Schizosaccharomyces pombe: one gene and its partner. Each later gene encodes a partner of the first gene's protein in a complex. Each region holds a gene or a part of one and is shown on either strand. Other genes may lie near its edges.

Region 1 (3,575 bases):
AAAGTTGTTAGTGATAAGTGGTAAAAGACGGTATGTGTTTGAGGTAACCATAATCGCCAAGATAGACAAGATGCAAGTGGAGCATTGTCGGCGTTAAAGTTAGTATTTTGATTTGTTTGAGCTATCAACATGAGTAAGTGTGCGGCGGCAGGCGAGTCGCAAAAGGAAAAAAAAAAGCCTTCATTTAGTTATCAGAGCATCGCCGACGTATACCTTTTTTCCATTGATAAATTTGTGTTAGTCAGTGCAGTTGTTCAACACAATCGGTCCTCCGTTTATCGGTAGCTCTTTTTTGCACTTTGACAAAGCACAAAATTCGTTTACATGCAATCATCTATTACGGATGTAAATGTCCGTCATAATCAAAGGAATGCCAACAACGCCAAGTGAAAGCGAGATGAGTTGGGAAAATAGGATCGCAATTTGACATTCCTACGTCTTCCTACGTCTTTCTTGGAATGAAGTAATCAACTCTTCGTAAATTAGCAGGGACGAGGAAAATATGCGACTGTTATCATTTTTAGCGCAATAAGGATAAGAAATGAGTGATTTAGGAAATAAGCAACTGGGAGATATCCATTATCACTTCCATAAGCGATAATGATAAACCGCAGGAAAAACACGTGTGAGCATGAAAAAGGGTATATATACATAGACGGAAAGGGGCTTCATCTTTTCTTTTTCTTTTGTTAGGGGCGTGGTGAATGGAAGTATTTCTTTGTTTTATGGGGAAGCGTACAAAATTGTGAAACGAAACGATGTATGTGTATGGAGTGTAGGAGTCATTCATTTTCATGAAAGAAACTATAATAAAAATGGGGTATATGATTAGAAAGGGATGAGTGAATGTTTGAAAAAATTACTTATAAAATGGTAATGAATATGATTAGAAAAAGCGGTATGAGGAAGCATGGTTACTAAATGAACCAACTTGATTATATAAAAAAAAAGAAACAAATTAAAAACTAATTTTCATCTAACTCAGGAATTCCTCCTTTGAAAATAGCCAAACATTAACTAAAAAAATTAAAAAAAAAAAAAGTAGAAAAAAAATGTAAATATTACAAATACTTCCCAAACTCCCATAAAGCATTCTATGACGATTTCCTTACACCAAGCAATTTTCCTGTTGGATTTTATTTGTCTCGACTGGTTTGTGTATCCCTGTTTCCTTTCTTTTGTTTCCAAGAGAATCATTTCCAGGGAATTGATACATTTGTCCATGCTAAGATAAAATCCATTGTTCGGTCAACTCACTTCCGATATATCTGAAACGAAAAAACAAAACCTGATTAGAAAAGCTATATGTTTTCACATATAAGAAGACTATATGTCAAACCCCATCCTAGCGTCGATATGAAATGGAACTCTGTGAAATGATAGATGTGGGGGACCTAAAAGATAAACCCCAGTGTAGTGAAATCTCGATGCTTTTGAAACTGAATAAAACCCGAGGATATTAAGACAAGTAGTTTATTAAAAAAAAAGGTTTTCCGATCGTAGTTGAGTAAAGTTTGAAAATTCAAACAATAATTAAAACAACGGATGCACATCACGCTGCTGCGTCTTCTCTTGCACGGACATTGACTTCCGTATGTAATTTGTCTAACGATCGTGCTCTTTCCATTTCTTTTTTCCTTTAAAATACTCATTTGCCTATCTTCCTCATAAGATGCCTAGCATGTCGAGCTTACGGAGAATTTTTATTTCCTTTGATTTGGACAAAGCACCTCATCCAACATGATTGTGATCGGAGCTTTGGAGCACTTTTCATCAGTTCCGTCTTCATCCTCCTTCTACACTTCCATGGAAATTATGCAAAACTTGATAATTCCATCCTTACCAATAATTTTGCCTATTTCCACGGAACTGACCCGAAAAATTTAGCAAAAGGAACGATTTCGGTATTACTTATTAGCTTGGAAATTATGTCTCGCTAAACCATATAACGAAAGTTTGGTTTTTTATCAGTAAGCGAAAAATTTACCGTCCCCCTTTTCCTTCTTGTCAGCTACATAAAAGATAGGTGCGCTGCGCTGGTCGCCTTTTTCTGCCACTCTTTCCACGCTATTTTACGCTCTTATTCATTTTTGAGGAATACTAACGTCGGCCGGTATTGTTGGAAATCGCTGCAATTTGTTAAATTGAAATACCACTCAAGTGGGTAATGGTCTCCTTTAATTGTCGATACTGAAGGTTGATTGCATTTTAGTGCGGTGTCTTAAAAGCTGCACTCGCCCATCACACACGCGTTTGGTTTGTTTACCTTCCATCTACCTGTCTGCCTTCTTTCACTTTCACCTTACACCATGCGTCGTTCTACCATTGTGCCAACTAGTCGAACAAGCAGTTCATCTCCATCTCCCAGTCAAATGAAAAGCTTTCAAATGAATCGTTTGGTGGACCAACTGTCCAAGTTGCAATCCAACATGTCTCATTTGGAAAACCACTTACATGTTACCGCAATTCAAGCAGAAGCCATCCGACGTCTTGGTGCTCTTCAGGCCTCGCTTCTGATGGCGTCTGGTCGCGTTATGTCCGAAGCGAGGATTCAAAAGTCTTCAGATGCTGTGGAAGAAGACGTTCCTATGTGAGTCTCCAACTTTTTTGATGCAGACCTCAAATGACAATGATAAAAAGGAGAATACAAGAGACAAAGTGCCCCAATGAAGGAGAAATATAACAGGAAAGGAAGTAGGAATGTGCTCTTTCTTAATTAGATGGGGCTATTTCTTATTTTACTGCAACAATGCGGTATTTGGGGCTTCTTTCAATATGTGGGTGTTGGAGTTGTATCAACTATGCATCCGGAATACGGCTTTTCGGCATTTTACGCTATGGGAGTTTTGCGACTCTCGGGCTGCACTCCCGAAACCTATGTTACTGCATTGTACGATGCAGTTCTGTAAAAAATAGCAGGCTAAAAGAGGGTGTTCTAGTTCGTCTAATAAGTGATCTCGTTCATTGGTCAGCTCGGTCGGCTAAGTAACCAAGGGAAACTGCAAAAATTGGATACCAGAAATGATTGGTCAATTGCGCTTCACAAAACAGTCAGTGTACCAATCATATGGTTTTTATTTGAGATAGCGCACAATCATTGGATAGCTAGCTAAAAAAAGGTAAAAGTGGTTCCTTTCGTTAGGCTTCTTTATTTTCACCTTACGATTTACCGAAGAGAGCTTCTTCGACCTCGCTTAGATGGGTGTGAACAACGCCGTCCCTTTGCCAACCTCAACGAAAAAAGAAAAGCAGGTTGTACTAATTTTAAACGTTTCAAACGATTTTGTAAATTGATTTCTTTAAGCTTTGGCTCCTCCTTATTACATACCTAATCAATAAATATCTGTTTTCTTTTGCAGTTTCTTCTTTTTTTGCTCTCTTCCAGGGAAAACGGAAATTTGATTTGAGGAAGCCATAGCGCCACCATTCCCCAATCTGTCTACAAATTACTTTTTTTTGTTCCACCACACCTCTGGATTGTATTCTAGCTTATATCTGTTTTATTTTTCTATATTTGTTTTGGTATTTTAGTTCGTTTTTGTTGTTTTATTTCCCCTTTTTAGATCGTTTTTGTT
Region 2 (3,756 bases), on another chromosome or scaffold:
GCACCGAATACACTCTAAAGTGCTTATAACTGGCAGTGAATTGCAGAAGCTGATAATTGCATGTATTACTCCTTCCAACAGAAACGTCTTCATATTTCTTAACATTCAGTACTAATATATGTCAAAAATCAATTGAAACAAGAGAACACACCTGTTTGTGGAGAAGATGATGAAAAAACAAACAATCGAGCGAGAACATCATCTTCAGTATATTGAGGATCCATAGTACTTTCGTCTATTTGACTCAATTCACAAAGAATTTGCGTTGATTCAGATCGACTAAGCATGGCATGTGATAAAAAGTCCATAGTTCTTGCTTTTTTTTATATACACTTTGCAAAACGGTGATGCGCGTAAGCAATAAATATATATATACTTTGTAAGACGCGCCTATCAAAACGTAAAAGCAGTGTCTATAACGGTATAAAGACAATACCCATTATTATTACGTTATACCACTATAAACCAAAGTCATTTGGTAATGCCAAAACATACACTTGCCAATATTTTGAAGGATTGGGCTTGACACTATTAAGTATATTAATAAAATATGAACCTCATTGCTTATCAAATATAGTAAATTATGAGAATCCATATTAGTACAAACAGAAGAAACTTTGGATTTCAATCTCGAAGAGAGTTGCTGGCATTTAAATGATTTTTAGTCAAATGCAAGCAGAAGAAAATTTCTCGCTGTATTCACTTTAATGATCCGAGGACAAAAACGAGTCCCAATTGTAAGTTGCTCTTCATAACGAAGAAATTTGAGTATGAATAACCATTACGGTTAGAAAAAAACAAGGAAGGAAACTTATTATTTGATTAAGAAATCAACAGCTTACAACATTGCAGATTCTCATGCAACCCCATTTTCATAACGCTTTTAGGAAAGCTTGAAAACACTTTCGAATCCAGCATGATCTAATAAAATGTTAACAGGCAATTAATCGGAAGATTCATTAGGTCAGTGTTTCCGGGGTAATAGTTTAGAAATATTTAAGGCCGGACTACTTCCAAAGGGTTGTTTTGGATAATTGATTAAAAGTGATCTAACCAACTTTTTAAAAACAATACCCATATTCGTTTCTTGGACATTTTAGCCGAAAAGTGCTTTTTAAAAACCTTCATAAGCTTATATCTTGTGCCTGTTTTTACTCTTCCAAGTAGGATGTATTTTTTTCTCTGTAAAAGTGATTGAAAAATTATCCGGTAAATATTCAGTTCCAAATATTCATAGTAAACCACACGAAAAGCACCAACAGTAGAGTTAAAGCTTAATTTATAGTTCGGTTTGACGTATTTTCAATTTCAAACAAGCACGTTATCAACTTTCATCTTGAAACATGCCGCTTTTACCTTCTTGGTTATTTTCTAGGTCTGCCAAAATCGCCCAAACACTAGCTTTGTAAAGAGTATATACAAGTCCAACCTCCTTTTCTAAATCCCTTAGCGAGTCCAGAATATTGTTGCTGGGATTATAAACCATGTCCTGTAACACCTTAACAAGCTAAATATTAACCAACTGCTGAATAAAAAAGACTTACTGTTTCTAAATTTGATGCAAGATTAGCATATTCAGCTAAAATTTGATTCTGGAGAGCTCTTTTTTCCTCTAAACTCATTGTACCTTGCCTTGCATAAGCACTTTGCTCTCAGCAAACTCCTAGTTGACTGAAATCCTCCTTACTTCCACCATGGATGGCCTTAGGCCTTCGAAACGAAGAAAAAGTAATCCTTTGTATTCAGAGTAAGTTATAGCTTTTTTCTATTTAGTATTTCTGCTTTTTATACTTCGATGATCTTAACACGCGAGAGTTACGCGTTAGGAAGTATTGTACGAATTAAATTAGTGAACTTTGTTACATACGATTATTGTGAACTGTTCCCTGGTCCATATCTAAATTTGATTATCGGTCCAAATGGGACAGGTAAGAGCACAATTGTTTCAGCAATATGCATTGGGCTGGGATGGCCCCCAAAAGTAAGTCTTTCAATATTATAAAAAATAACTTAATTGATTAACGATTTAGCTACTTGGGAGAGCTAAAGAGGCCCGTGAATTTATAAAGTATGGCAAAAACACTGCAACCATAGAAATTGAAATGAAGTATCGTGACGATGAAACGGTTACTATCACGAGACAAATAAGCCAGGATAAGAGTAGTTCTTTCTCTATTAATAGGGAAGCATGTGCCACTTCTTCAATAACGTCTCTAATGGATACTTTCAATGTACAATTGAATAATCTTTGTCATTTTTTACCACAAGACCGTGTTGCAGAATTCGCTCAGCTTGATCCTTATTCTAGACTGATGGAAACTGAGCGTGCAATTGACCATGAAGGGTTACTTCCCGCACATGAGAAGCTTATTGATTTACGAAAACGAGAAAGGGAAATTTTACAAAATAAAAACCAAGGACAATCAACATTAAATTCATTAAAAGATAGACAACAGGCACTAGAGAAGGAAGTCAATATATTTAAAGAACGGGAAAAAATCAAATCATACATCGAAATGCTAGGGTTAGCTAAAATGTTAGTTATATACAGAGAGAAAACCAATGTCTTTAACCAACTTCGTGCAGACAAAAAAAAATTAAAAAAGGATTTGAAAGACCTAGTGGAAGAATTTCAACCTATTTTGGATAAAGGTGAAGAGCTGCGTTCGGATTTAAAACTAAAAGATGATACATTTAACGATTACTCCTCCGCTTCGATGGAACTTAATACCTCAAATTTAAGAGCCAGAGCTTCTTTTTCGAATTTCATGGAGAACGAGAAAAAGCTTTATGAGAAGGTTAATACCAATCGAACACTTTTACGGAATGCAAATCTTACATTAAATGAAGCACAACAATCGGTGAAGTCATTAACAGAAAGACAAGGCCCAAGACCTTCGGATAACGGTGTTCAAGATCTACAAGAAAAGATGCAAGAAGTTAATGCGGAAAAACTTCAACATGAAAACGAGAAACTTGAGAGCTCTCATGAACTAGGTAGTATCAGAACATTGAAAGCACAAAAGCTTATTGACCTTGATAACATTAAAAGAGAGTTGTCCTACTACAACGATGCTACGAAAAGGAAACTAGACTTTATGTCTTCTGCTCCAGGCTGGGAAGATGCTTATCAGACGTATCAGTTATTGAAGGAATACGAATCTGCGTTTGAAGCACCCGCATACGGCCCAATTTATATGAATTTGAAATGTAAGGAAAAAGGGTTTGCAGCTTTGATAGAAGGGTTTTTTCGCACGGATACGTTTCGAACATTTATAATGTCAAATTATAATGATTATCTAAAGTTAATGGATCTTATCACTTCAAAAACTAAGTACACTCCTACTATAAGAGAATTCTCCAGTGAACGAAAAAAGAAGATAGAAGATTTTGAACCTCCATGCTCTCGTGAGAAGCTTCAGTCTTTCGGGTTTGACGGATATGTGATCGATTTTTTAGAGGGGCCAGAAGTGGTTTTGGTTGCTTTGTGCCATATGTTAAAAATTCATCAAATTCCGATTGCAAAAAGGGAACTACCTCCCGCATCAGTGAATGCGTTAAACAATTTTCGTCTGGCTAACGGGGATCCAGTTCTTAAAACTTACTTGGCGGGCTCATCTATCCACTTGGTTTTTCGTTCAGCTTACGGTGATAGAGAAATTACTAGGCGAACAGACCCATTACCTTCTCGCAGTATATATTTTTCCGAGAACGTTGAGATGGATTTGGTAAAGCGAAAGGAGGAGCAACTAAATG

The links. Proteins that work in one complex are often made in the same cells at the same time.
Region 2: dad5 (region 1) and dad3 share a complex: the UniProt entries of both Schizosaccharomyces pombe proteins name them as parts of the DASH complex.

The regions. Positions count from the first base shown.
Region 1 is NC_003421.2:1,669,340-1,672,914, reverse strand, and holds dad5 (DASH complex subunit Dad5), read left to right. Parts: upstream 1-2,052; 5' UTR 2,053-2,309; coding exon 2,310-2,594; 3' UTR 2,595-2,971; downstream 2,972-3,575. Other genes in the region: SPOM_SPCC417.03 (uncharacterized protein), read right to left, coding at 551-672, 864-912. UniProt on the Schizosaccharomyces pombe protein: Component of the DASH complex that connects microtubules with kinetochores and couples microtubule depolymerisation to chromosome movement; it is involved in retrieving kinetochores to the spindle poles before their re-orientation on the spindle in early mitosis and allows microtubule depolymerization to pull chromosomes apart and resist detachment during anaphase.
Region 2 is NC_003424.3:5,227,692-5,231,447, reverse strand, and holds dad3 (DASH complex subunit Dad3), read right to left. Parts: upstream 1,650-3,756; 5' UTR 1,623-1,649; coding exon 1,545-1,622; intron 1,508-1,544; coding exon 1,325-1,507; 3' UTR 548-1,324; downstream 1-547. Other genes in the region: mek1 (meiosis-specific serine/threonine protein kinase), read right to left, coding at 1-111, 152-308; Smc5-6 complex SMC P-loop ATPase subunit Smc5, read left to right, coding at 1,695-1,747, 1,816-1,981, 2,031-3,756. UniProt on the Schizosaccharomyces pombe protein: Component of the DASH complex that connects microtubules with kinetochores and couples microtubule depolymerisation to chromosome movement; it is involved in retrieving kinetochores to the spindle poles before their re-orientation on the spindle in early mitosis and allows microtubule depolymerization to pull chromosomes apart and resist detachment during anaphase.